Alligator mississippiensis: one gene and its partners. The protein of the gene in region 3 interacts with the protein of the main gene of each other region in a pairwise test. Links are inferred from orthologs where the notes say so. Each region holds a gene or a part of one and is shown on either strand. Other genes may lie near its edges.

The links.
Region 1: the proteins of NUDT18 (region 3) and NADK interact in a two-hybrid assay, tested with the Homo sapiens proteins (2 studies listed by BioGRID and IntAct). The two-hybrid records come from large-scale screens. The link is inferred for Alligator mississippiensis from reciprocal best matches to the Homo sapiens genes NUDT18 and NADK.
Region 2: the proteins of NUDT18 (region 3) and DUT interact in binary tests that used the Homo sapiens proteins (3 or more experiments, as listed by UniProt). The two-hybrid records come from large-scale screens. The link is inferred for Alligator mississippiensis from reciprocal best matches to the Homo sapiens genes NUDT18 and DUT.
Region 4: the proteins of NUDT18 (region 3) and NT5C2 interact in binary tests that used the Homo sapiens proteins (3 or more experiments, as listed by UniProt). The two-hybrid records come from large-scale screens. The link is inferred for Alligator mississippiensis from reciprocal best matches to the Homo sapiens genes NUDT18 and NT5C2.

Annotation. Positions count from the first base shown.
Region 1 is NC_081836.1:12,892,363-12,900,047, forward strand, and holds the start of NADK (NAD kinase), read right to left. Parts: upstream 3,002-7,685; 5' UTR 2,874-3,001; intron 2,841-2,873; exon of another isoform or gene 2,720-2,840; intron 1-2,719.
Region 2 is NC_081834.1:20,411,604-20,419,004, forward strand, and holds the start of DUT (deoxyuridine 5'-triphosphate nucleotidohydrolase, mitochondrial), read right to left. Parts: upstream 3,013-7,401; 5' UTR 2,853-3,012; coding exon 2,692-2,852; intron 1,167-2,691; coding exon 1,075-1,166; intron 1-1,074. UniProt on the Homo sapiens protein: Catalyzes the cleavage of 2'-deoxyuridine 5'-triphosphate (dUTP) into 2'-deoxyuridine 5'-monophosphate (dUMP) and inorganic pyrophosphate and through its action efficiently prevents uracil misincorporation into DNA and at the same time provides dUMP, the substrate for de novo thymidylate biosynthesis.
Region 3 is NC_081830.1:18,805,508-18,812,359, forward strand, and holds NUDT18 (8-oxo-dGDP phosphatase NUDT18), read right to left. Parts: upstream 3,009-6,852; 5' UTR 2,791-3,008; coding exon 2,650-2,790; intron 2,198-2,649; coding exon 1,984-2,197; intron 1,652-1,983; coding exon 1,047-1,651; 3' UTR 1,039-1,046; intron 734-1,038; 3' UTR 370-733; downstream 1-369. UniProt on the Homo sapiens protein: Mediates the hydrolysis of oxidized nucleoside diphosphate derivatives. Hydrolyzes 8-oxo-7,8-dihydroguanine (8-oxo-Gua)-containing deoxyribo- and ribonucleoside diphosphates to the monophosphates. Hydrolyzes 8-oxo-dGDP and 8-oxo-GDP with the same efficiencies.
Region 4 is NC_081829.1:98,822,396-98,830,033, reverse strand, and holds the start of NT5C2 (cytosolic purine 5'-nucleotidase), read right to left. Parts: upstream 3,010-7,638; 5' UTR 3,002-3,009; coding exon 2,934-3,001; intron 1-2,933. UniProt on the Homo sapiens protein: Broad specificity cytosolic 5'-nucleotidase that catalyzes the dephosphorylation of 6-hydroxypurine nucleoside 5'-monophosphates.

The DNA of each region.
Region 1 (7,685 bases), on a different chromosome or scaffold from region 3:
TTTCACATAGTCAAACATGAGATATCCAAAAGCACACTAATGTTTTCCAGGCTGTGAATATTTTGCAAATTCATCACCCAACTAGGTAACTCACTGATCCCTTCGAAGTGCCTTTACGTCTCATGAGCATATAAGGTTGTGATCTCAAATATTTTGGGAAGGAAATTTATTTTCAAAGTGAAGTTGGTCCTCAAAATGACTCTCCCCCTCCCTCCTCCACCTGCCCAAATATGCAAGCTTCTCAAATGGTAGAAACTACTACCGGCTTACCAATAAACGACACAGTTTCAACAGTTTAATATATTTCACTGTTTTGGATATACCAGTCCTTATGACTGTTGGAACATATTCCCAAGTATCAAATTTTATACAAGTTTCCCCATAATTTTACACTGTAAACTTATTAGTCAGTCAACATGAAGACACACACTCCAGGCAGCAGTCTTGATACATATTTTGAATCCTTCCTTTTTCATGTCCTTATGACAAGATATTTAGCAGAATTCACAGATTTGTTGGAATCTGACATAGCCGTGCCATGAGCACTTCTGTTATGGCCCTGAACTTGTGACCTCTGGACTGTCAATCCTGCACCTTAGCTCCTGTATCACCCCAGCCCCCCTAAATTTTGAATGATCTATGATTTATTAAAAACGGGTATAAAGCACTTGAGCAACAGATAAATGTTTAAATTTCTAAAGGTGCCATAGTAAGTGAAGACTTGACAAATCATTTTTTGTCACAGGTTATTATTACAAAGAGCAGAGCTTACAACTGGAGTTTTAAAAAAGTTAAACTATCTTAGATGGCAAAGCCCCAATGTAAAAGTGAACTCTCAAAAACCGGGTCTTTGTTTGTTTTAAATCTAGTGCAATCCTCCCTCCACCAAAGATCGTTCTGTATTCAATATTCAGTCACTAAAACTGAAGCCTGAAGAAACTGGGACCAACTTGCAGCACTGTGTGTACAAGGCAATAAAGTCAACATTGCAGATAAAGGACCAATTAAGAAATTCCAACTTTATTTACAACAAACACTTGATCCTCAAGGAGGTCTCTTGAAGCAAAATGAATATTTGTTTTTATCTAAAGAAGAGTCTGATCTAAAAAAAACCTCCTACAAACTGTTTCAGGATTTTTAAGGAAACTCACCAATAGCTTGTCTTTAGTCATTTATATCCTGCTCACTCCTCTACCCTGCAGCTGCAGCAAAAAGGCAAATGTTTTCCCTCCTACAAGTTTGCTCTCAAACACCTGCATAGACACCTGTTATGCCTCTACAGGCAGATGTCTGTGAGAACTTCTCAAACAGCCTTTCGGGAAAGACAGATTTAAAATGCCACGCAGGGGCAGGAAGATGAGATGGAAGAAAACTGACAACTTGCTATTACCAGTAAGTTATTTTCTTTTGTCTCTCTCTTCCCCTGGATTCTCTATCAAGTACCAGCATGGTAATAAATAAGGTAGATGTTACTAAAAAGAGTCTCTCGGATATGTACCTGCCAAATGCAGCATCAGTGGAGAACGCTAGCTTAAAACTACAAATCAAGGTGGAAGGAGCCCTATAGGGAGCCCACAGTCTTCAACCACACAATGTTTCCCACCTCAGACTGTATAAATGACTGTTCAGATTACATTAGGGGTGTTGGTTATAGCTGTGCTGGTCTACAGACACACGCAGACAAGCTTCTTTGGGTAGATGTGATATCTTTCATTAGACCAACTGAGTAGTTGGAAAATTATTCTTTGCAAGCCCTTGGGCACAAACATCCTTCTTCAGGCATAGGGGGAATCTGCTGCTGTTCTGCAGTACAATATGGAAGTCCCTACGAAGCACACACCATTAGTTACATGACATACCATCCCTCCCTGGAACCGATACAGGAAATCCTCAGACAACTGCAACCCACACTCCCTCTGCCTGAAGAAGGGTGTCTGTACCCAAAAGCTTGCAAAGAACAGTTTCCAACTATTTAGTTGGTTTAATAATAATAATAAAAAGGTCACATCTACCCAAAGATCCTTGTCTACCAGTTAAGATTACATGCTACTTCCAAACTATCTTCTTTTAAGACTCTTGGGAGATCAGTACAGGACACAAGGATTTTGGGATCCAATTCTTTTTCCAACAGATCTCTAGTTTAGGGATCAGTCTTGTCCATAGATCCATATTCACAAACAAGATTTTAAGATTGCTGAAACCCAAATATTAAAGTTACCTACAAGTCAGTTTCTTCAATTTTTGAAGCACAAGGAGAAACATGGCAGCTTCCTCCCTCCCCCCTCGCATTTTAAAACTCATTAACTTCAGAGATGAGACCCCAAGTTTGCCAGATGAGACACCTTTCTTAACAAAGCACCAAGCACTTTTGTAACGCAGCTCCCATTCATACACCATTACACCTGAAGCATCCACAAGAATGGCTGTCACCAGCCTCCATCAAAACCATCCTCGGGGTGGAGTCACCTAACCGTCTTACATCACCAAACTCCTGCCGCCGCCGCCGTTAACAAGACTCGACTCAGTGCTGCCTTCAGAAAAAAGTTAGCTCCAAACAAAAGAAACAAAAGAGCACAGAAGATGAGGCCGGGAGGGGGGCGAAGAGGTCATGGGGGCCACCCCCCTGCTCGGAGCAGCACCAGCCCCAGCCCGAGCACCCCCAAGTCGGCCCGCGCTTCTTCGCGAGGGGCGCACGTGTGCACGCGCACAAGCGACTGACCCGGGTCCTGCCGCCGCACTGCAGCGCTCCCGCTCCGGCCGCTTCACGCCGCTGCGCCCGCAACACGGCGGGCCCGGGCGGGGCAGCCGGAGCCCGCACCCCGCGCACCGCCGGGCCTTAGGCAACTTTCGCGGCCGCGCCGCCCCGCACTCACCGAGCCCCTCAAAGGCCCGCGGGCCCGCCCCGGTGGAGATGGGGGCGGGGGCGACGGCGGCTGCTGATGCGGCTGTCCCGGGAGCGCGGCCGCCCGCCCCCGCGCGCCTCCATCGTCCGCCTCCGCCTCCTCAGCAGGCCCGGCCCCGGGCAGGCGGGGAGGGCACGGCGCGCATGCGCAGTGGGGGCGCCGGCTTCTACCCGGACAGTAGCGTCGTGACGCAAGCGCGATTGCGTTCCGCAGTCCCGGCAGTTGGGAGGGGAGAACACACATCGCGCCTGCGCGAGTCGGGCCAATGGTGGGATCATTACTACGCATGCGCGGGCGTGCTGAGCGCTTCTTCCCACGCGTTTGGGGTGCGTGTGCGCGATACTATCCCGTGCGCGCCGTTTCAGCCCTTTACAAGAATAAAAGTGTTCAAAACGTACGAGGAGTTTTGAGTTTAGTAGCCGTGTTGGTGTGAGACAAAAGAAATGCACAGATCTAGAAGTTTTGGTTCAGACAGGATACCTTTTATTAGACCAACTACGAAATCACAACAAACCTGTCGCTTTCTGCAAGCTTTCGGGCTCGCGGCCTTTACGGGGCGCAGGGAAAATGAAAGATTACCCCGCCTGATCTGCACAACAGAGAGACTCTCATGGACCCAGAGGGACAGGCCTCCGTCTTAAGTGCCCTTTGTGCAAAAATGGAGTTTATTTCCTACCAATGGGGACTTGTTACCATCTTTAATTTTCCCTGAGCCTGACGAAGGGCGTGTGCGCCCCAAAGCTTGCAGAACAAGACCACTTGTTTGCAGTCTCTTAGTTGGTCTAATAAAAGGCATCATCTCTGAACCAAGACTTCTGAATTGTTGCAGTTGATAATTTTTGAAGCATCTAATTGACAGGACATGCAAAACCCACGTCTCTCAGGAAGTCTTAACCAACTTTTGGGTTTGCGGTCAGCGCTTTCTCATGCCTGACTGCTTGCCTCCAAATAAAAAAATGCCTCATGTTTGATGTCCCAGTTGTCCTCACTCACTGTCAACTTGCAGTGAGCAACATAAACTACAGGTGACTTATTTGCATATTTTTTACTGTACAAGTTTGCCAGCAAATATGATGATTTTGAGCTTCCAATATGATCATTTCATATTTAAGACCTGGCAGTGCTGCGCAGGTGGCCAGTACATGTGAGCTCTTGAACAACTGAGTGCCCCCCAAGGCAGGCACACACAGGGAGTGCCCCGCAACCCACGTCTCAGCCCAGTTTGACTAAGATGATGCGAGGCTAGGAAATGCCAAGGCCTCTGGGCCTGGTGCTAGCGCATTGATGCCTGCCAGGATTTGTGGGTATCAGCAGCCCCAGACTGATGGGCCTGGGAGGGAAGGTACTTGCCTGGTGGTAGCAGGTTCACCAGCAAATGCAGATGCACTTGTAGAAGCTGTGATGTAGATTTCTTTGGAGTAGGTGAGGTGCTGACACCAGTGTCATGTAGACATGCTTGGAGCAGGGATATGACAGAACATCAGCATAACAAACTCCCTCCTCCGGCCACAGCATGCTACAGGTGGAGCTGCTATAGTTGGAAATGTTTAGATGCGTCTTATAATAAGTGTATCATCATAAGACTGACTCACTCACCGGCTTCATCTAGACACCAGGCAAAATTAGCACCAGGCAGCCTCCTACACAGGATTGCAAACAGGAGCACAGACAGAACTCCGATAAATGGGTGTGATGCTTCAGCGTCAGGTGCAGGATCTTTCATTAGATAGTTGGTGAAATAATGGCCCTGTTCATCAGGAGTCATGATGTCTTCAGGTGAACTGCAATATCCTCAGGCAAGGATTAGGTATTTCTGCTAGTTGTGTAGGATGCTTCACACACACCTAGACACTGTAAAACATGGACTGTTTTGCATTCATCCCTAAAACATGGAGAGGAGCTATGTACCTCCTCTCTGAGTGCTGATAGATCACAGGTGCAGGGCTATTATTGGGAGTGCTGCTGTTATGGAATGACATGTAAGAAACTGTAGGAATTACAATGTTTTCACATCCCATTCAAGATCTCTAGCTCATGTAATTATGGGTACACTAAATGTGTGTCAGGTGCAGCTTCAGGACTTGCTAAGCATGTGTGGCAAGGAGTTCTGATTAGGATTAATTAAAAATCCTGTTCAATTACTTATTTTAAGCATCCAACAAGCATCCAAGTATAACCTGTTATGAATACACACGGCATCAACCCCTTGTTGTTAGCATGTTTCATTATTGTGCAGCAAGCTATCAAGCTCAAAGGTAAGCCTTTTGTATCTGTACATGGTTTCCAGCTATGCTGTAACTTTATCTGTTGTGCCTTTGACTTACTGTTTATTTTTCAGCTGAAGCAGGATAAAGGTAAATCCAGAATCTAATCAACTTTCACTGAAGTGCAACATAATGTGGGTTGTGTGTGCCGTATAGTCAACCAGTGGCAATGAGTAGGGGGTGCACGGGGTGCATGTGCACCCCCTGAGAGGCCATGCTCCCCATTTTAGGCAATGGGCAGGGTGCTCCCCCTGCAAACGCTGGCTGGGGAGCGGGAGCACCCAGATGACCACTTCCCGGTTAGTGTAATTGGCCACGTCAGTGAGATAGGCCGTGGGGGGACCCCCCCCCCCCAGTTCCTGACTGGTTGCCGACTAAAATGGCACCAGTCACCCATACAGTCAACAAAAAGAACTTGAATCAGTATCCTAACATGCTATCTGCTGCAGTTTCAAGTTATACTACCAGATCACCGCCCCTGAGGTAACACAGATGTGTTAGGTAGACCGCACAGCAAATTCCTGGAATGATTCAGCCAAGATGTAGTCCAGGTGCTTATGTAAGATGATGACACAGGAGAAGGATGAGCATTTAATGATTCAAAGTCACACGAGCATGGCACAGTGATATAATGGCAGCACACCGAGAATCAGTTAATTTTTTGTTGTTGCATGGAGGGATGGGGCAGCAGGAAGGCACTTCTGTCTTAAATTCTTTTCTCATGGTTATTTCTGAAAGTATAAAACTTTAGTTCACCTTGTTGCAAATAGTTGTCAAAATGCATCACCAACTGAGTAGGCGAAAACCAACCTGAGATTGACACTCTAATCCACTATCTCATTCCCATAACTTCCAAGGTCCACTTCTGCATTTTTCACATGAGGAATTCTTCTTCATTACAGTGGTAGGGCTGCTTGAAAGGATTAGTTCTTCAGGACCCTTAAAAAGAAGAGATCAGGGGATGGAGTTTGGGCAAGACTAACTTCCACTCCGACTGATAACGAGTGTCCCAGGGGATATCTTTATCACAGAAACACTGTCTCTAACTGGCCCTTGCCCTGATCATCACAAGCAGACAGGTCAAGGATTGGATTAACTATGGAAATTTAAGGTCCCCAACATGTCAAGTATAAAGCATGTTGGCAGGGAAAGGCTTGCTGTACTGTTGCTCAGGACTTTGCCTTAACACAGAGAATGTAATGACAGCCACAAACCTGCATTTTGACCTTGAAATGATCACATGGACCCAACTTCTGAGCAAGGCTGAGAAAATGCAACTCACTTCATTGGGAGTAGGATTTGGCCACCGACTCTGTAAAACAAAATATTCCAACAGGAAATTGCAGGAGGGCTCCAGCATCTTAGGATTTGGCCTTTTGACATTAACGTGATGGGTTACATTACTTCTCCTGCTTCCCTGGAAATCTGGAGGAAGTTTGTCATAGATGTGAAAAGGAGTAGGATGGGGCCCTGGTACAGCTGCATAGTAAATACAATGCTGCCCCTGTCTACACAATTGTCTGAGAGGAAGTCTTGTCCACTGACTGAATATTACTTAAGTTGCATTCAATAACATTTGCTAACCCAGGCTTAAATGCGGGGCTTATCCAAGGCAGCTCTGACCAAAGAATACCAAGCCAGAGCCAGGATAGTTTTCTCCATCTGACAATATGATCCATTATTGGCTTACTAAGGCTTTTTTCCCTCCTAGCAAATGTACCAGTCCCCTGCAAAAGACACATAAAACGGGGAGCTCCAACGGAAACTGGGGAGGGGTTGGGAAGGGTTGTTTTGAGAAGTCACATTTCCTCAGAAGAAGAGTATTTTCAAAGAATTGGGAAGTTTCAGTGGGGAAGTTCATGGGAGGAAATGGTATGGTAATACATACTGAAAAAAAGAAAGCACCCAGCTTGGGTGGAGAAATGCCCAAGCGGTTTCTCCCCTTCCTGCCACCCCATTAGAGAACAAACAGTATTTGCAGAGACCTACCAAATGCACAGTTTCACAGAAATTGTGTAATTGGCAGTCTCCTGTGAAATAGCCGGTTCCCCTGTGAAAGAGTGCAGGAAACCGGCTATGCTCAAAAAGCCGTCTCCTAGAAGGACAGGAGGAGGGAGAAGGGAGCAGAGAGGAAAAAAAAAAAAAGGCAGCATAACGGGGCGAGGGGGAAAAGAGGCAGGAAAAGTTCCCATCTCTTTGTCTCCAGAAGGGGCGGGGGGAGCAGGGAAGCCCCCCCAAGAGTTCATTGTTTGCTTACTCAGTAATTATCGCTCTCTGACCCTTGAAGAGGGTAATAATTACTGAATAACAAACCAGGCAGCTCCAGCTAGGACTTTCAATAAATGCCTAGTGGGGGTGGGACTTGCAGCACCCCTCAGCCAATCAGAAGTGTGGGGGCTTTGCTCCACCTTCAAATGGCAGCCCCGGCCTCGATACGGCTGTGAAATCGGGGGTCCTGGCTATGTTACAGCTGTGTAATTGGCTGCTGGGGCCTGTGAATTTGATAGGTCCCCAAGTA
Region 2 (7,401 bases), on a different chromosome or scaffold from region 3:
AACTGCAACCAGACTTAATCTGCACACCATAATGGGAATAAGCTACTGTATGTTATAGTATGACATTCAACAGTCTCAAAACAATTAATTTAACCAGGCTAGCTTTGTGTTAAAGTTAATACAATATCCAGAAATGGCTTGATAAATGTTTGAAAAAAGGTTACATTATGTGCAACCAATTAAGTAAATTGGCCCTACTTTCTGTGCATGATTCTGAAACAGCTAATCAGTCAATTTTCTAAGAGACATTTCTCTTTAATAAACTAGATTAGCAGGTAGAGTCTACAGATAAGAATCCCTTTTCTCCAGGTGAGTCTGGGATGTGCAACTGGTACTAGGTGTGCTACTGACATAATCAGGCTTAAAGTTTCAGCTGAATGTTAGTTATGAAACACAGTTAGGTCCCTAAATAGATTTGTCCAGAAATGACTTCTCTCCACAGAAGTGCAACTATGACTTCTCTGTAGTTGCATAATGTAGCATGTAGTTAAACTAGGTATTAACTCTTCAGATTTGTTTATGGACAGGTTGCACAAGAACTCCCTGGAATCCATAGTATTGTATTAATACCCAAGGTATAACAGTTTACAAGAAGTCAGGTAGGTATTTTGTAAGTGCTTATCCGCTGTTGAAATACATGTGATTCTACTACTTAAATCTACACTTAAATCAAAACAACTTCATATGCATGTTCTCCAACAGCTCAAATTAATTATCTGCTCTTATTGTCAAAATATTTTGTTTTGTCAAGTGGTATCAACCAAATCTTCAAGATTTTTCAACACGAGATACCACAGCTCGCAAGAAACCTGCTAATTCTTTTCCTGGGCTTACAGGGATGTAGTCTGAAGAGGAAAATTGCAGAAAGGGGTTTTTGGCATAGTAATTGCATCAAGTTGGTTAATTAAAGCTTTTCTGGAAACTAAGTAGCCATTCAAATAGATTTAAAAGTTGCATCTATTTAAAATTAATAAAGAAACAGACATTAAAATTAATGTAATTTCGTTGCATGGACTAGGTCCTGTGGCAAGCTACAGGAATAACCATTGCACGCTTTTCTTCAGTTTAACTTACCTACTCTGCCATAACATCCAGATGGGAGGGAAATTTGAATATCAGTTTTAACTACAGCCTTTTCCATAGAAGGAATCACATAGTCATAGGCACTAAATTAAAACAGACACATGTTAACAACCAAGAATGTTTTAAATATCATCTTTGTAAGTCAATGACCACCCCCACAGAAATCGATAATTAAAGCAGGTAAAGATGGGGAAAGAACAACTACTTCAGTATCAAGAAAGAGTGTTAATCATGTCAGTCTAAAGTTAGGCAGGAAACGATGCAGGTCACTCAGAAGCATAATTTTTTTGTAGGCTACAGACTGCTTCCTCAAATGCTGACTGGGCTTGGAGAAGAGGGGTACTAAATATAGAAAGAAATGAAGTCACTGAAACACAAAGGGGGAGAAAAGGAAGAGACTACTCAGACTACTATTAGTTATACTGGAATATCAAATTCATTTGGCCCTGTAGGCCAGATGAGTGATGTGGGGCTGGACTGGAGCAGCCCTGCATTCTGGATCTGGAGCGGGTATAGTGTGCAGCGCAGTTCTGCTCCGGCTGCTGGAGGGGCTGTGCTGTGTGGCACCCTGTCTAGCGTGGCCCCACAACGGCATGTGACTACTTCCAGGCTGTGCTGCACATGGTGGCTACTCTGGGATGGGAGCTGGAGCAGGTGCCATGGGTCACTCTGAGACCCTCCAGGGCCAACACCAGGCTCCAGATGATTTGGTTGCATCTCTGACACCCTTGAGTTATGTTAATACTATGATATTACTTTAAGGGCTGTCTACACTTCTGCAAAATTGAAAGTAGATACTAATAAAGGCCCTGCTACATGTTCAAATTGAAACTGCATAGAAACCAGCTCTGGTTTTGTTACACATTTTCTAGCACTAACTTTAGAGCTAGATGGCTCTTTTTATAGGTGCTTTGTCATTTTTGTCCTGTGATAATTACTCTGCACCTGTGGCTGGTCTACATTTATGGCCCAATTCACCAGTGAATTGAGAGATAACTACTTTGTACTTGCAACCGGTCTTACTTGGCACACGTGGCCTAATTTACTGCACGGTTCACCAGTGAATTGCGCCACTTAGGTAACATGTAGTAGGGACCTCACACATGGCAAATCCTGATGCTGGCACTGCCGATTTTGACGTCTCTCAGACTCCAACTATTATAAAACGAATGGGGGGGGGTGCATCACCCAGGGCGCCGTGACAGCTGCTCAGTTGTGGGGGAAACTGAGAGGCAAGCGCCACTGCGTGCCAACGCAGAGCCTCGAGCCCAGCTATTGTGTGTGCATGCATGCCAATGAAGTGAAAAACATGGTCACTTGTGCTGATTTATTCTTAATATCTGCTGTTGTGCTCCTTCCTGCACAAGAAACCCAATCCGGGCTGTAGGGAGACGGTGTGATAGAGCTCAGTTCCCTGTAGCTGCTCGCAGCCTCATCCTGCCAGCACAGGGGGAGGGGGAGGGGGATCCTTCACTGGAGGGGGGAGGTGATGAGACACCTCATTCACTTTCACTGGAGGGAAGAGGGCAGGGCAGGGCGTCTCACGAGAGGGGGGTTCACTGGGGGGCGGCCTGGGCCTGCGGGAGGACCCCCCCGCCCTTCCCTTACCTGTACAGGTCGTAGCCGGCGGCGCGGGCCGAGCCGCGGGACGGGGCGGACGCGTTCTCGGACAGCTTGGCGAAACGCAGGCGCATGGCGGCCTCCTCGGGGCCCGCGGCCCGGGGCCGCTTGCTGGGGGACGCGGCGGGCGCTGGTTGCGAGCACGGCATGGCGGGCAGTGAGCGCGGGACAGCAGCTTTTTCGCGCGCGAGCCGTTCGAGCCGCTCGCCCCGCCCCGCTGGCGCAGACCACGCGGCGCGGCCAGGGGAGCCGTTTGCTTTGCATGTTGCATGGAGGACAACGCCACTCGCCCTCGCCCCCCGCGCCGCAGAATGGGCTCTCCCGGCCCCTCCCCCTGGCCCTCTCCCGGGGCCGTGCGCAGAGGCCCTGAGCAGTTGCAGCCCCCCCCGCAAGGCCCATCCCCCACTCCCGCGCGCCCCCGGCTCTTACTGCTGCGCCGCAGGCCCGCGAGCCACCGCGACAGGCGGGCAGCCAGCATGGCGTCTCCCCTGGGCAGGGGGGAAGGGCTTTTCTGTTGCTAAGCGCAGCCCGGCCTCCCCCTCAGCCGCGAGTCAGCGCCGCGCCCTGCCCCGCCCCGCCCCGCCCGCCCGGTACCTTCCCGACCGGAGTGATGAAGCGCGGCGCTACCCGCCCTCAGCGGCCTCCTCTCGGGCTCCCGGGGACGAGCAATAGGGCCCGGCGACGCCTTCCTGGAGCGCGTCAATGGCGGGGCTCGGGCTGCGCGGGGGGAGCGGCCCGGCCCGGCCCGGCCCGCCGCGCTCCGGGGTCATAGCCGCCCGCGTCCGCAGGACGATGCGTCTCAGTCGTGATCCGGCTCCTGCCGCCAGGCTGGGCCCTCGCGGGGCGCTCCGGGAAACTGCAGCACTGAGCTCTCACCCCCTAGCGCCAGGCCCACGCCGACATAACGTGCCTCTGCCCGCTTTCACCGGGAGCGTTTTGGGGGGACGTGCGAAACGGTCACAGGAAGCGAGAGGACGCAGCTACAAATCGAGTCCTCTTAAGTTTGGTCACCCGGGCCTCTTTTGAGGCAGTAGATGGAAAGGTCTTTTGGGAAAAATCCCCAGCAGTGTGCTTTGGTGGTTCAGGGAGGTATTCAGCAGCCGCGTTGGTCTGAGACAAAAATGCAAAACTAGAACTCGTGGTTCGGATTTGATACCTTTGAGTACACCAGCTAAGACATCGCAAAAAGTATATATATATTTCTGCAAGCTTTCGGGTGCGCACACCCTTCCTCGGGCTCGGGAAATTAAAGACCATTCCATCTTCAGCTTCCTCTGTGCAAAAAATGAAGTTTATTTCCTACCTGTGAGGACTTCTTACCATCTTTAATTTTCCCTGAGCCCAAGGGAGGATGTGTGAGCCCGAAAGCTTGCAGAAAAAGATTTTTATTTTATCTTATTTTTTTTTGCAATGTCTTAGTTGGTCAAATAAAAGGTCTTGTCTCTGAACCAAGAGTTATAGAGTTTTGCATTTCTTTGTTGGTCCTGTCACCTTTTAAATTAAAGCAGGATGGACCCCATTGCAATCGAGTAGAATCGATGGAATCGTAGAATCCATGAACATGAGGGTCGGGAGGTCACATTGAGTCAAACCACCTGCTCAAAGCAGGGCCAGCCCCAACTAGATCATCCTAGCCAAAGCTTTATCTAGCCAGATCTTAAAAACCTCTGGAGAGAGAGATTCCACCACCTCTTTACTACCCTCCTAGTCTGAAAGTTTTTCCTAATATCTAACCTAAATTTCCCTTGCTATTTGCTGTTACCAATTGTGGAAAATAAATGTGAAGATATGTCTAGATTTTTGTGGATATTTTTACTGCTATTCAATACTTAATAGTTTGATGTGTTGTGTTTGTCAAGAGGAGTCAATATTATTGACCTAAGTGAAGGTAATGCTTAAATATTTAATATTTATACAAAGCATTACAAAAGGCATCTACAGATGGGAGTTGATTACAACAACCAAAAAAACAAGCGATGGTACATTTACAGAAGATTAACAGTTTGGGATGCTCCATAGATAAACAAAAGCAACTGGTTTTACAGACTGGATTGTATGTTCAGGGTCTAACTGCAATTACTGTGTGACAGGCTCATGACTACTACACCAGCCAATGTGCGTGCCCCGTCTCCTGGGCTATGTCACACCTGGGTCTGTTCTCCTGCCACAACTCATTATGCTGGGTTTTACCTCCAGAGGTGGTGTTCAGTGGTTTCTGTAGGACCCAGGGCAACTCTGCTGGCACATCTGTGGGGCTCCTCCCCTACACCCACTCCCTTTCTGCTTGCGTGTTTAGGATCATACTGGATGACACTCAGATCTGGTGACGGGGCTTTCTCTTCCTCCGCTGAGGCCTGGTGATGATGACCGCTGCAGGGGGTCTGGCTGTGGCCCTGTAAGGTTGCAAAAATCACAATTTAACAATAATTCAACGAAAATAGCGCTCAGATGGTGTGGTGGACAGGGCACTGATGCCCCCCCCTGCAGAGCACTTTTCTTTGGTGTGTGGGTGTCTCGGTGCCCAGCACACCCTTTTCCCACACATTCTTAAGTCAGTGATGCCCCTTTCTGGGCATGCTTTCTGGTCCGAGTTCTACCTGACCAGGTACTGTAATACCGCAAGGCACGTCCCTCCACACCTGCACGCCACTCATGGTTCTGCCGCTCCCCTGCTGGGGCCCTCTGATTCCGCAAATGCTCCACCAGGATTTGTGGTGCCGGGGGTGGGGGTGTCTTATGCCAGGTTTTATCCCAGCCTCAGCTGACCTGCATATTCCTGTGGGGGTTGTCACGGGTGCCAGAAAACTCTATCAGGTCTGGGCTGCTTCGCCCACCAGCTGCAGCAATCAAACTGGCACCTGTTTGAATCCCTGGTGCTGCCTGAGCAGTCTGGGCTTCCAGACTTATTCTGGGGACTTTAGCCCCAGGGAGAGTTACCGGCTCCCTGCTGGCTATGTGGCATGCATCCTGGTCCTTTCGGCCATGGGGAGAGGGACATGCTGAGTCCCTTCTGGCCTTGAGGAGAGTGTCCAGCTCCATTGTCAGTGCTCCCACCTTTCTCTCCCCCTGGCTTCGCTTCTGGGCTTTTTGCCAGACCAACCAGTGAAGCTCCTTCCAGTTGTGTGGTGCTGACTGGTTTGTCTGCAGGCTGGCCATGTAGATGCTGGCATTGCAGTGAGTAGGGCTGGAGCCTGTCAAACTATGACTAACAGCATAGGAAGGAGCTCGTTAAGTGCAGCTATCCCTCCATGTTAAAGTTCTTGTTATCACCAGTAACTAGAATAAAAAAGATATAAAGAGAGGTTTTAAAACTGATAGATGAGCACAAGAAAACTCAAATAGAACATGAAAATGTATGAAGGTTTTTATAAATGCTTGTGTTTTCTCAACTTCTAAAACGTAGATTATAAAATAAAAGGAATTAAAGAAAAACAATCCTTGTTTAATTAGGAATCTGATAGGTCAAAGTGCATTTCAATTTGTTCTTGTACCATGTAGGAGGAGAGCAAATAATTTTCATAAGTTTTCTCGGAATGGGCATGTGTTGCATAGGAATGTAGTAGCCACCCTAAATATCGTTATAAGTTGTCTGTAAATAGCTAATGTTACTTTGGCATATTAGCTGCAGTAAGTTTAAGGTTAATGAGGCACAATTCAAACTTAGATATTTAAATGGCTACTATTGTAACTAGAATTTTATGTTTAAGAAAACGGACACAAAGTTTGTTGTTTTAAAGACTGGAAGATGTCCCCTCAAGTTTTTGCTTTGGAGAAAAACTTAGTTAATTTTCTGATACATCTGCCTGACCTAAGTATTTTGAATATTGCTGAGTTATGTATTGTGATGAATATTCTTTTTTTTTTTAATTGTAAAAGGAGGGAGAAAATTTATTGGAGAATGGATGGGGGGAATAATTGGCTAGATCAAGTCTTTAGCAGTGTGACTCAATGTGACATTTCTGGTCACTGATTCAAGTCTATCTTGAGGGTAATTTGGAGGTCTGTGTACATAGTGGTGGTGGTCTCATACCACTTTCTAGAAACATGTCATTGAGGAAGGAAGGTAATCATTATTAAATGTCATCTTTTTCACAGACTTTTAAAGGGATCATACTCTAGATCAGAGTGAAGGCATGTCGCTGGGGAAAGTTTTCACTGCTGCCTGTATGTGCTGTAAGGCAGGTATCCAGGTTGTAGCTGTATTGGTCTAGAGGCAAATGGAATTCCTTTTTATTCTAGACCATTATGACTACAACCTGGATACCTGACACATGGAAGATACCAAATTTTAGCTGCTTTTTTAAAATGAACATTTCATCATTTTTCAATAAGGAAGCAAAATTTACCATCTGAAACCTGAGACCCTGCTCCTGCCCTTGTTCAAGCTAATTTGCACTCTAACAGAGCGCAGAGGTAGGTCTCCACAAAAGACATGCCTGCCCAGAAGAGCATTCCATCGTTCCAGTCTTCTGTGAAATATGAAACATCATAACCAGAAGGAAATATGATTCTACATCCTGCTTGCTACCAGACAACTTTGAGGTAAAAAGATTTTTCCAACTTTTCTCTGAGCCTAATCTACACAAAATGAACTGTTCCAAACAGGAGACTTTACCACACCTGCAGCTCTCCTGTGAAATATTTATTTTCATTTCTACATAGGAGAACTTTTACAATCTTTGCAATCTCCTATGCCTG
Region 3 (6,852 bases):
CTCCCCCAGCCAGCCAGCTAGCCACAAACCTTGGGATTGGGATGGGCTGAAACCCTCCTGGTGAATTCCCCACCAGTGCTCACGAGCTCCTAAAAGTCCCCAGCTCTGTTGGTGAAGCCTGCTAGAGCTGATGGCAAGTACGGGCCCTGCACAATGCAATTTTGTGCCAGAAAGCCCCTCCAATACCAGCACCTGGACCATAATCTGTCCAAGACAGCTGGCCACAAGCTTGCAGGGGTGTTGGGCTCCCATGCCAGCCAGCCCCAAGCCTTGGGGTGGGGAAGAGTGTGGTCTCCCTGAAACCAGCCAGCTGGAAACCATTTGCTGGGGGAGGGTTTCCCCAAGCCAGCCAGCAGTAAGACTAACCTCTAAACTTTCCCAAGTGCTCCTTTTTATTCCCACACTCTAGCCAAGACACAGATGCTTGGGGCAGCTCTTGAAACCCCAGAGCCAGGTCTAGAGAAGCACACAGTCCTCCGGCATGATCGCTTCAGGTTCAGCCCCTCGAGGGTGGCACAGGCAGATGGCAGCCCCTGCTCCCTCTAGGCCAGACACGAGAAGCACCCACTCCTTCTGGCACGGGGCAGGGAAGGTTTTGCGGGCTGTGACTGGTGAGGACGTGCCCCACGGGAAAGCCACGGGTCCTCCCTGCTGCGGTGGCCCAGATGTCTTTCTTTCCAGGTGAGCCGTGCGGGGCTCACTGCATGCTGCGGGCTCTGAGCTTCAGCCAAACCTGGGGGAGAAAGGAAAGGCAGCGTTCAAACACCAGCTCAGCCCAGCGGGGTAGGGTCAGCCCCCACCTCATGGATGGGGCCATCACACGGCCCTTAGTCCAGGCTCCTGCTGGGCTTTCTACTGGCACCAGTCACCCCTGGCCTCCCAACAGGGTTCACCCTCCTGCCAGAGCAGCAGGAGCCCCTGCGCTCTATCCCAGCTCTGCCCCCAATTTGATGCATGGGCCTGGATCCCAGGCTCCCCAGCAGCAACAACCGGAGGATCGGAGGTTCATGCTGGGAGGCTTTCCCAAGCACAGCTCACCCTTGTCATCAGCTGCAGAGAGCAACAACAGCCACAGAGCTGAGGCGCTGCAAAATCTTGCTCCTGAGAGGTCCCTCCTTCACCCGCCACCACTGGAAGCTCTGGTCACGCAGCTCCGGTGGAGTATCCTGGGTGCTCTGGTCACTGTGCCCCACCGTCAGCAGCACGTTGAAGCAGACGCCATCAGCCTTCCCTGCCTCCTTGCCCAGGTGCTGCAGGCCCAGGACCCCCTGGGCTGTCACAGTCACTGGGCCCAGCAATACGCACTCGCAGAGCAGCCGGGCTGCTGACGCCCGCAGGCCCCGGCGCATTTCTGTTGGGGTTGTGCTGCAGGCCATCACCGGCAGGTGCAGGGCCCCTGCTGTGCTCATCAGCACCCACAAGTCCCCGGTGCTGTTGGTGAAGGCTGCCAGGAGCCGCTGGCAGATCTGGGTGCAGGGCATTTCTGCTGGCAAGGTGGGTGGATGGGATGGGCGGGTTCGGTACCGTGCAGCCAGGTCCAGAAGGGGTAGGATGTCCGGCGCACGCAAGGGCAGGGTGGGAGACTCGCGATCCCACCACCGGGCTTGTAGAGACTCAGCGTCAGCTTCCTGCAGCGTCTTCAGGCTCCCACCTGGATGAAGGGATAAGAACAGGCTCTGACGGTGCTGCGCTCGGGGCCCTGTATTTTTAGCATAGCTGAAGGCTTGCCCTATCCTCCCTGCTACGTATGCCAGGGCCAAGGCCAAAGCCAAGACGGAGCCCTCCCTTGCCCAGAAGCCCTCAGGTCTGGTTCAGCTCTGAAACCAATATTGCTCCTTCTTCCATGCTTCCCCTGGCTCTTCCAGCCTTGTGGGCACTGCTATGCCAGCTGCCCACAAGGCTGCTCTCAGCTTCTTGACCACCTCCAGCTGGCACAGTACTGTAACCCTCCCGTCCCGCTGGCTGCAGGGCAAGGGGACTCACCTGTCGGCTCAGCAAGGAAGACAAAGCGGATCCAGGCAGGGCCCCTCTCCTCCACTGCCAGAAGGGTGAGGGGATCGCACTCCAGCCCCGTCTCCTCTTTCACCTCCCTCCTCATGGCCTCCACAATGGTCTCGTTGGGCTCCATCCTCCCAGCAGGCAGGTACCACATCCCATGGCACTCGGCCTTGGCTTCCTGCATCATCAGCACCTCGTTCTGGGAGGGAGGAAGAATCACAAGTCATGGTCAAGGAGTCACTGGCATTCTGGGACCAGTACAAATTTGGAAAGGGGCCAAGTCAGGCCCTTCCCCTCACTGTCTCCATCTCTAGCCCAGATTCGAGGGATCAGCTTGCTGAATGGGGAGCTATGAGAGGTTTCCTTGAGTAAGCCGACCCCCCCTGCTCTTCTGGAGGCATCTGCAGCGGGCCGCGCAGCCTGAGGCCGCTCCCCAGACTGCAAAGTCTCTCATCTTCAGTCTCGCTTTTTTTCAGACGTCAACAAAAAGGCGGCACAGCAGGTCCGGGGGGTGGATTTGCAGCAGCCCATGCTCGGAGGGCAGGAGGGAGCTGCGTGCTTTCTGTTCTGCACAGGCTCCCCCTGCCAGGACGCGGGGCACCCACAGCACACGCACCCTCTGCCCCTTCCCAAACGCAGAGCCCGCCTCACCTGGTCATTGAACAGGAGCGCCAGCACGATGTAGCAGGCGTTCCTCCGCAGCCGCACGGGCTGAGCGGGCTCTGGCGCAGAGTCGTACCTCTCCTGCACGGCCCATCCTCTCCCTGCCAGCACCGCGTCCAGCTCCTCCATGACAGCCTCGGTCTGGGGGGTCAAGGGGGGGCACGGCAGCTGGACAGGGACCTGGGTCACAGCAAGCCAGGCAGGCAGGGGCTGGAGCTGGGCAGGTGCAGCAGGGCTGGGGAAGGGGGAGCTTGGGGAGCCCCTGCCCTTGGTCCTGATCCCTGTCCTGCCCCCCACGCACACTCACCCCAGCTGGAGCAGACTCACGGAAGAGACCTCCGCGCCCTACTCCCATTGGCTGGCTGGGATGCCACGCTCGCCTCCCATTGGCCATCCCCATTTTCATTCAGCCCTCAGCGACTGCAGATGTTTCTTAAAGGGGCCGCGACCCCGCACCTGAGCGTGGGGATCCTCTCAACAGGGGCTAGTGGTGGCAGTGGTCCTGAGGCATCTCAGGGGTTCATAGGGGCAGATCCTGAGGCATCTGCTGCGGGGGGGCAGGAGGAGGAAACGTGGGACAGTGCTAGTGGTTAAGAGGCACTTAACCCCTGGGATGCCCCAGAGCCACTGGCACTGCCTCTATTAACCCTTAAGATGCTGCAGGACCACTAGCACTGCCCTTATGACCCCTTGAGATGCCCCCAGTGCCCTTGGCAGCACTCGGGGTGGGGGGTCCTAGGGGCAGAGCAAGTGGCCCTGGGGCATCTTAAGGGTTAATGGAGTCAGTGACAGTAGTCCTGGGGCATCTCAGGGGTTAATAGGGGCAGTGCCAGGGGCCCCGGGGGCATCTCAAGAGGTCATAGGGGTAGTGCCAGTGGTCCTGCAGCATCTTGAGGGTTAATGGGGGCAATTCCAGTGGCCCAGGGGCACCTCAGGAGCTAATAGGGGCTGTGGAATAGCCCCTATTTGGGGTCTCTAAGATGCCAGGGACCCTAGGGGCATCTCAAGGGGTCATAGGGGCAGTGCAAGGGATCCCGGGGATATGTCAAGGGGTTATGGGGCAGCACCAGTGGCCCTATGGCATCTTAAGGGTTAATAGAGGCAGTGCAAGTGTCCCTGGGGCATCTTAATGGTTTATAGAGGCAGTGAGAGTAGCCCTGGGGCATCTCAAGGGTTAATAGGGCACTGGGGACATTTCAAGGGGTCATAGGAGCAATGCTAGCGGTCCTGCAGCATCTTAAGGGTTAATAGAGGCAGTGTCAGTGGCTCGGGGGCATCCCAGGGGTTAATAGGAGCAGTGCCAGGTGCCCAGGTGCATCTGAAGGGGTACAGGGGCAGTGCTAGGTGTAGGCAAGGCTTGAGGGCTCCTATCAGGACACTCATAGCTCCTCCCTTTGGGGTCAGGAGCTGCAACCCCCACGGCCTGTCTCCTTCTCTCGTGGGGGCATCCGGTGCCTGTCCTGGCATCGCTGCAGCCGGAGCATGGTGTGAGTGGGACCCACCACCCCTCTGCTCACAGCAGCCTGCATGGAGGCTCCTGGTGCCAGCCTCTGCAGGGCCCTCATCAGCCTGATTGCTTTTCCCCATGGGAAGCTGGCATCCACGCAGCACCGGACAGCAGCTGGAGGGTGCCCACACTGGCCTTTCCTTCACGTACCTCCTTGCCATCCTGCCCTGCAGGGTCTGCCCTCTCCTGTAGCTTGATTGCACTGACTGTAGAAAGCCTGAACGAAATGCACCCCTGACCCCTGCACCCACTCAGCCACGGAGTACAGGGCCTCCACGCAATGCCACGCGGCAGCTAAACGGAGCATAACTGAGTGACCAGGGAGGTGGCAGGGCTGAAAGGTGCCAGGAACTGATGGGGCTTATGCACCTCACCGTGCTCATAACAAGGGAACCAACAGGCCACTATCGGGTCTGGAGTTCGTTTTGCCCTGTTATCCGGTGTGGGTGTAAGGGGAGCACGCTGTGCCAATTAGTGTTAGAAGCACCTCTGTCAATCCTTCAATCCTATCTACTTTATTGAAATGCCTAAACACAGATATTTGAGCTGAACTTTAGGCTCCAGTGGGAGAAACATTGATTTTTTTGCTCTTTGACTAGGCCAGCGTTGTTCTACTATCATGATGCTGCCTCCTGTCGCTAGCTAATGGTTAGTCCAGGGCTTCCTTACAAGGGTTTCCCTTATTGGGCTCAGCAGAGCACACCAAGCATTTTGGATGCTTCTTCACAGCGTACCTGGAAATCCTACAGCAGACTGGAAGCTGAGATGTGGTAGAGATGGCACCCCTGCGTCTTTCAGATGGCTTTACGTGTTTAAGGCTGAAGTGCACGCAGTGGTATTTCTGGGTGACGTAGATCTAGCATTCCCCTATAGTTAAGCCAAGGTCTCAGCCTAGGGAGCATGAGCATTTTTAAAAACTTACCTGCTGTTACAGTTTCACTCCTACCCCACCAAACACATTATTGATCGGGGGGGGGGTTCAGCTACACAGCTGGCATTGCAGCCATCCCCATGTACAGCAGTCATGCTGCTCCAGGGAGAACGTGGGGGCTCAACCCACACTCCTATTCTTGGTGGCACCAGCACCACCCCCATCCCAGGCACCCCCACACATGGCTTCCTGTACCCCTACCCAGGGGAGGCAGGAAGGAGACTTAGAAACCTCCCCTTCCACATCACAAGATTGACAGGGTTAAAAAAAAAGCAAAAATATGTTTATTTGACAGCATAATTGGTAGAAATTGAAAAACACACACACACACATAAACACGCCCCCATTGCCCCCCTGAATTGCTCTGGGTGACAAGTTACAGAAAGGACCTTCTTGGGGACACTGACACCTTTGTCTCCAACTGCAACTAGGCAGAAGCAAGTTTTTTTACATTCATGGGAAAACACATTTCTCCCATTCAAACACCAACCCAGCGGGAGCAGTGCTTCGAAACAAGCACCCGTTCCCCCCATGGTGGCTGAAGTGCACCGCACAAGGAGCTGGTGGAATTGATTTCACTCCTGGAGACCGCCAGGTGCTTACATCCTGATCTTGCAATGACTGGCTTGGCCCAGGTGGACAGCACAGCTCTCACTCTGTACCCAGGTCTCCCTCCCTGCAGGCCTGTTACAACCCCAGCTATGGAGCCCGGCACACAGGGTGCAAAGGCCCAGGCTTTGAAGGATCCCAGGTTCAAATGCTGACACAGTCCTGCTAAGCTCAATAGTGCAAGGGAAGGCAAACCCTGAGTTCCTGACTAGGAGCTAAGACCTGGCACTGAAACCCTTGGTGATTCACCCAGCACCTGAGAGCTGAAGCCTGGGAGAGCATTCAGTTCAAACCCGCCTGTCAAGCTGATTTTTGCAGGTCAATGCCCGGAGCACAAGGAAAGCGCTTGAGGCCCAGAGAAGGGGGGTCACTCCCTTGAGGCGGCACTGAAAGCTTTCATGTCCCCATTTGCCTGCCCCGTGCTCAAGCTGTGAAGCTGCGGCTGCTGTCATGTTAACTGGGTTAGATCACCGGATTCCCAGGGCTTGAGTTTGCAACTGGAGAAGGTGGAAAGTGAGTGTCACTGGGACGTGAGCTGGATTCCTCCAAAGAAATGAATGCATCTACTCCAAGCAGAGCCTCTGCTCACTTTTGAGCCCCAGAACGCAGGCTCACAAGAGCAACTGAACACAGGCAGCGTGCTTGGGGGAAGTACTAGGAACCTCCCCCATCCTTTAGACCTCTGGGGACGTAGCCAGCATCCCCACTTGGCCGCTCACCTTGCCCAGCTGCACAGCGGGCAAGGTGCCAGCTGAGATCTGTATCATGTCACCTAGATACAGCTCTACTGGGCTAAAAGCTGGGCTGTCTGTTATCTTTGATAGGCCCTGTGAGATGAATGAGAAGCAGGGACACCTTGTAAGAGACTTCAGAGGACTCAAGAACACAGAGCCAAACAGCTCAGAGCCTCTCCTGAGCAGCTCCATGTCCCTTAGGGTCTAACAGTGTCTCTGGACTCCAGTGCTGAAGCTTTTCCCCCATGTGTAAGGAGGCATGAGAGAGGGCTAGCTCCTTAGGCTCCAGCTGGTGCCACCTTAAGCCACAGTAGGTTCCCCTTAATGCAGGGAAAAGCCTGTGTCTCCAGCATCTGCAGCACATCTGGAGGCTCAGAGAAATGCAAGCTGGAGGAGAGCCACCCACTGGG
Region 4 (7,638 bases), on a different chromosome or scaffold from region 3:
CGCGGGGAGACTGTTTTTGCTGTTTTCTCCACCTTTTTGGCAGTGAAGAAAAACCTTAAGACTGGGGAATGAGTTGCATGTGAAACTTTGCACCCAAACCTAGACTGCAAGAACTAATTTCCTTCCTACGAGGCCAAACATCTACCAAAGGGCAATGTTAGTTTGGGTCGGAACAGAATGGATTTTAAATGGCCAAGTCCATGTAGGTGCCATGCTATCAAATTAGCCAGGTCCTGCCATGCTCCCCAACTCCCAGGCTGCAGAACCAGCGGGTAATTTAGCTCCTTGTGCAGGTCATCTATTTGATTCTACCTTTGTCTCTAGCACCTGTCTTCAGGGAGGAGCTGCCAGCAGGCAACCTTTCTCCCCTGCACCTCTTCCTGTGCAGGGCCGTGTCACTCTTGTTGAACTCAAAGGTTGCAGATTCCAACTCAGTTCACTCCAGAGCACAGCAAGCCTGATTTATAACCAATCCTTTGAATCTTTCCTTGCCCAGATTTACAACTAGATAACCTGCATGTTCCCTTCTTGAGATGAGGCAAGTGAACTGTTGCTGGACTGCAAGTGAAGAGTATGAAAGGAACAAAAGTTATTTGCTTCTTTAAGAGGCTTGGAGTCAAGCTAAATGTCCTATTTGAATCAGTTTTTATTTCCTTCTCCATGAATGAATACCGATCCAGATGGAGATGCAGAAAAAACCCTCTCATCTTGGGCAAAGAAAATTAACTGGTTGTATATATTTTCTAAGAAGTTTGCTGTCATTGCTTTCAGATAACGATGTGGTGCTCAAGTTGCAAACACAAGGGGCTGGTTTCTTTAAAAAAAAAATAAAAAATTGAGGGCTTTTTGTTTGTCATTAAAAAGTCTAATGGTTATTTCTAGGGGTTTTAGGTTATCAAACACTTATTTCTGCAAAACTTAAGTTTGAGTTGAACCTAAATTTGGAGCTACAACTGACAAAACACTGATCCTTTAAGCATTTTTTAAAATGTTTTTAAAGGCTGCTTAAAAGCTGAAAATCTGTCTGACAAATTCCTGCTCAAATTGAGTCTTTGCACATCCACACCCCAGGAAGCGTTTAGAATAGTAACGCGACAGAAGCAAATATATGGGTACACTTGCTACTTTCAAACTTCAGAAGACAATGCATATCTTGATCTCATAACATCTGTCTTTTATCTGTCTCAGAAATTGTATTTTATTCCACCAAGCTTTTGGCAATACCATTAGCCTGTAAGGAACTGGACAGAATAAAAGCTGCAGTGTGTCACGACACCACATTTATGCTGGAATAAATTCCAACGGTTGCAATGAAACTGGCAAACTTCTGACAGCTCTTTTGACCTAAGGACCAGTTACAACAGAGTGTTTTAAAGTGTAATTCTACTCCAAAATATGACTGTTAAATTGATACAGGCTCCACTTGGATGGTATTGTATCTCGGATTTCCAGAGCGAAACTGCTCAAGCAGAAGATGAGGACAGTTTTCCTGACAGTTGCCAGTGCAGATGTAATATGGCATTGAAAAAATTTGGCTGTCAGTGACATTATACAAACCAGGGAGGGAAGGGGGAGAGAAGAGAGAACAGATGACGTGAAAATCAAAACATAGAGTCTGAACTGTGCAAACCCGCCGTCACGGAAATGACTCGTAGGCATAACCATCCGATGGATCGGGCCTCTGTCACGGCGACACCACGCTCCTTCTCCCTGGGCTAACAGGTGCGCAGGGCAATAAAGTGTATTTTAATCAGCGACCGGATCTAATTCGCAGTTCACGCAGGGCGCAGTTGTGTTGGGCAAGAAGGGGCTGTTATTACGCAGCCGCTCGGAGCCCGTCGCGTTCAAGCAAGCTTCCCAGAGCGCGTGTTATATACGTTTATTATATATCATATACGTCTAGCCTTCCAAAAAAAATACAATCCCATCCCACAAGTAAAATCCCTGAACGGACCGAGGACGATGCCAGAGCAGCCACCCCTCGAGCACCTTGCTGGAATCCTGAGGAGACATGTGGCACCCCTCGGGAAGCGCCCGCGCTGCTGAGGAGACACGTGGCACCCCTCAGGAAGTGCCCGTGCCGCTGAGGAGACGCGTGGCACCCCTCAGGAAGCGCCCGTGCCGCCGAGGAGACGCGTGGCACCCCTCAGGACGCGCCCGTGCCGCTGAGGAGACGCGTGGCACCCCTCGGGAAGTGCCTGCGCCGCTGAGGAGACGCGTGGCACCCCTCGGGAAGTGCCCGTGCCGCCGAGGAGACGTGTGGCACGCCTCGGGAAGGGTCCGTGCCGCTGAGGAGACGTGTAGCACCCCTCGGGAAGCACCCGCGTCACCAAGGAGACGTGTAGCACCCCTCGGGAAGTGCCCGCGCCACTGAGAAGACGCACGGCACCCCTCGGGAAGCGCCCGCGCCGCGTTCGGCGGGCGCCCCCACGATGTGGAAGATCTCCGGTTTTGCCGTCCGAAACGGAGACTGCACAACGCGGGAAAGACAGATGCCGGACTCGACGGGGGCGCATCGCCGGAGCGCGTCGGACCCGCCTTCCCGTGTGGGGGGCTGCGAAGCACCGCCGATTCCCGTCTGGGTCGATGCGGCGAAGCCTGAGGGCGCTCGCGGCACCCCGGGGTGACCACCGCCGCCGAGGTGCTCGAAGCTGGGACGTTTTGCCAGCCGGGGGCGACCGTTAGGAACGCGAGGGGTCACGGCGAGGGGCATCGCGAGCCCCCTCAGCGCGTGGCGACATGTGGAGCCAGGGGGTGCGAGGGGCTGGGGGGCCACGTCACTGCCCCTCAGGGGCGCGCGCAGCGCCCCCAGCCCCCGCCGGCGGGAGGGGGGCAACTCCCTAACCGCCCCACCCCTCCGGGCCGGCCAATGGGAGCGTCCCCCGAGGCTGGCGCGTCCCCCCGGCAACGGCCCCTCCGCGCGCCGCACTCACCTCCCGCCGCGCGCCCAGGAAACGGCCCCGCACCAACTGCCGCAGCGCCCCGCCGCCGCACTGCGCATGCGCGGGCACGCCCCGCCCCGCCCCGCCCCAGGGAGCGGGGGGAAAGTGCCGGCCCCGCGCTGCGCCGCACGCAGGGAGGGGAGGGGGCGGGGCCTCCGCCTCGCAGCGAGCGGGGAATTGCGCGCGGTGCCTAAGCGCGGGGGGGGGGGTTGGGATTCTGAGGGACTGGTACACGTTACATACATCGCTCACTCCGTCACACGGTACATTTAGGCCACACGTGCCAAGTCATTGCCACACAATGAACCAGCGCCGCGAGGATTTTGAAGGCCCCTGGTAGACATTACATACATCGCATAATTCATTGGTCAGTCGTGCAATACATTTAGAGCAGCTGCGCGTGTCAAGTCATCGAACCGGACAGGTGAGGATTTCTGAGGGCCCTGCGCCACGTCACATACATCGCGCTGTTCGCTGGTCCGTCACACGGCTCGTTTAGGGGGCCACATCGTCGCCACGCGATAAGCCGGCCAGGCGAGGATTTCTGAGGGCCGGTCGCTGGTCCGAGACAGGCCGCACGTGAGGCGCTCGGTAAGGTCGCATGCTCGCCTGCCGCGGCGGGTTCGGGTGTGAGGCGTGTGTCGTGTCGGGGGTGACCCCCGTTCTGCGCACAGTTGAGATGACGCATTACACGGGACGGTTTGCACGGGGTGTGGACGAGATGCGACCTCCGCGGGGATTCTAGCACGAGCCCGAAGAAACCGTCACGCGGTGAACCGGTCAGTCATGCAATCAGTTTAGACCGGCCACACGGGCAAAGTACTTCTCGCTGGATAAAAATGATTCTCCGACTATTAAAAGAGCCAACCAGCTATAAAATGAGCGCTTGAAAATGTGTCACAACTCTATAGCTGGTATCCAGCCAGCATTAATTTGAATGTGTAGCAGGGCCCTTAGGGTGGTATTTTGTAGGGACCAATTACATAGCTGGGATAAAGTTAGATGCTTTCAAATGCAAGACATTCATATGTGTGTGGGTGTGGGTGTGGGTGGGTGTGTGTGTATGTGAATGTCTTGCATTTGAAAGCATGTCTAATTTTATCTCGGCTACATAGTCCCTACAAAATATTTCCCTAAGGGTCCTGCTATATATATATAGAGAGATATATATCTATATATATCTATATATATATATATCATGAATATATAGATATATCTATCTTTTGTCTATAGACAGATAGATAAATATATGTGTGTGTGTATATATATATATATATATATATATATATATATATATAGATGTGTATATGTGTGTGTCTGTGTGTGTATATATATATATATATTTTGGTCCCTGCAAGATATCACCCTAAGGTCCCTGCTATATATATATATATATATATATATATATTAATAAGATCTATCTATCTATCTGTCTGTATGTATGTATGTACATATGTACGTATATATATATCTATAGATATCTATATCTATAGAAAGATAGATATAGATATCTATAGATAGGTCCCTACAAAATATATATTTTGGTCCCTACTAGATAGAGAGAGAGAGAGAGAGAGAGATAGGTCCCTACAAAATATCACCCTAAGGGCCCTGTTATATATACATCTCATGAATATGAATAATTTCTATATTATGATGTTATTCATCTCCTAAATATGAATAACATCCATATAAGATTTGAGTTGACATCAGCCCAAATCTTTAGTGCTTCAGTGATAGTGAAGACAGAGACATCATAACACAAATGAAGATGTGCCCAGAGTGATGCATACATGCATGTAATAACTCGTGTTGACACACACATGCCAACACTCAGCCTCATGTGCACAGAGATGGCTACACACACAGCTGCACGTAGACATATATAGCACAAGCTGTCGTGAGCAGATGCTCACTTTCAGATGCTGAGGAGGACAGGGCAGCCCCTTTCTAGAGGAAAGCCTGTGTCTCTCTCTAGTCATGAATTGGCAGCAAGGGCCACACTAGCAACACTGAAAAGTGTTGTCACTGCATTGTACTTATTAGCTTATAGGGGCAATTGTTACAGAAGGTTGTGCAAAGGTAATTGCTGCCTATTGTGACACATCTGATATTTGTAGCATTTCTCTTAGCCGCATAAATGATGGTACATGTTATGCATATTGTAATATATGTATATGAACTCCACTTAACAACCTACTATAATAACACTGAAATAATGTAACCAAGTACTGATCATTTCCACAGTCTGCACCCAGTAACAGCACAGACAAGTGCTGCCATATTATACAGGCTGTTCCATCTTCTTAAAGAAGTGGGATTGGAAAGGAAGACAAAAGGTTACGGAGGCAGGCGGATACATCAATGCAATTCCCGATTTCTGTTGTGACATTTATGTGAAAGGGTAATTAGAGCAAGGGGAAGCACTCCTGAGTGTAATGCTCATGAGGGGATTCCCACTCTCCTTTCTGAGAAAAGATCAGAGCCATCACAGAGATCAGTCCTCATGCATTATGTACGGGCAGCCATTACTCATAGTATCCTAGAGAATCGGGCCTCGAAGGGGCCTGCTAAGTCCACCCCCTGCACGGAGCAGGATCGATAAACATGCATGTCTACATGCGCATAAAACCTGCTCCTTCCAGGTTGTTCGGCTATGGTCTCCAGTGGGAGCAGAACTGGGCCTCTGTTGTCACCCCATGACAGCAGCCTCCCCCCACAGAGGAGGGAGTGGGGGCTTTCAGCCATTAGTCACAAAACAGAGCATCTGGAAAGGCACGTTCTGATCCCAGCTCCGCCACACAGGCCTGGGGCAGCCCAGGAGGTGCCGGGACGTCTCCAGAAGTGTGCAAGGCCCAGGCAGGGACACAAATGGTTTCTGTTAAGATGAGACCTATATGCCCAAAAGCGGCAGCATAACACTCTGCACCCTTGGCCTTCAGCAATAGCCAGGCATTTTATAGTCAACAAGGACAGTCACTGTGGAGCCTCATCCTGCTGCTGGAAGCATGGCCATGCAGCATTAGACAGGCTGATTAGGCAGGCAGACAATAGCAGTTCGACACAGAGATCCAAGCCTGATAAAAATTTTTGACCTGTAAACACTTAGAGGACATCTAACTTCACACACACAAGGAGCTCCGCTGAAGTCAGCAGGTTTTGCACCTGCCTCTGTTTGTGTTTGTGGATGCCCATGTCCTTCTGCATCTTTGTGCCTGCCTGTCTCTGTGCGTGTCACTATCTCTGTGCAGGTGACTCTGAGTGTGTCAACACGAGCTGTTACATACGTGGGTGTATCACTCTGGGCACATTTTCATTTGTGTCACGATGTCTCTCTCTGCCTTCAGTAGTGCTGGAGCACAAAAGATTTGCGCTGACGTCAACACAAATCTCATTCTTTCCTTTCCAAATGGGTTTGCTCCTTCTAGCTGTGCCCCTGAAAGCCAACCGGCAGCAGCTGGGCAGGAAACCACGTCAGATCTGCCTTCATCACGCACCAGCTCTGCAGCCTAGGGAGGCATCCCTCTCCCACGTGACTTCTGCAGCAAAGCCAGGTGGCGAAACGTACTCCCAGAGCATTTGCTTAATGGGGCGTGCTAAACATTATCTGAGATGTGTACATCCCATGTGCAGCGTGTCCAGCTAGGAGGCAGCTTTCCTTTGCGTGACAAAAGCCAGGCAGCGAGCAGAGACAGGGAGTGGCTAGGATTCATGCGGTTTAACAAGACCCATGTCCAGGTGGCCTTTGCATAGAGAAGCTAGCAAAGATGCAAGGCTCTTCCTGTTGTTTCTTGCTCAGGATTGCAGCTGCCTGGATTTTGGAAGCACTGGGAGGTTTGAAGGAGACGGGGCCAGTTTCACCCATGGGATGGGAGGGGTTCTTAGCAATGGGCTTGTGATGCCTGTGTCCTGCAGTCAAAGCCCTGGTGATGCCCCCCACACTGGACACTTGCCAGGCTGCTGTGCTTGGGCCTGCGTGCGTTCAAGTGTCCAGAGTCCCATCACTTTGCTTGGCTTTAGGTCACTACATGGGCTTTGGGAGGAGGCAGGTTCTCCCTCAAGCACCCCTGCTTGAGAGATGAGACCCTGGGGTCCAGCTGTGCTAGGCTTCTAGGGTCATGCTCACCCCTAGACACCACAGTAACTTCCCAGACCTCCAACCTTGTGGGCACTCTGCTTTACTGCTTACACCTCTCAGGGAATACTTGCTTCTTGAAGCACATTTACACACGGGTACTTTGCCAAAAGGATTCTAAAGTAAGCGCTTTCTGCTTTAAGTAGTACACATGACATGCACCTCCAGAGAAAAAGGCCTGCACACCTTTCCCTGCCTGTTTCCTCACTGAGCCAGTGTTTTGGGGGATTTGGGGCAGTGTCTTTTAAGGACTCCAAGGTCCTCTTCCTGTCCTCTTGCCCATGGATTCTCTTCTGAAACACAAGTCTCTTGACTATGTGCCTGCACTCCTTCCTTCCCAGTGCATGCACACATGCATGTGCAGGCATACACACCACGTGAGAGATCCTTTCCTTTATACTCTCCGGTCCTCTTTATCAGTGGCACTCTAATAGGTTATGTTGAGGTTGCAACAAATCACTGTTCCAGCAGGGTACAGATCATTATTCTGACTACTGGGCTGGTGGGGAGTGACCCTGCCCTAAACCCAGGCTTAAAATGAGAGAGATGGACAGAAATGAG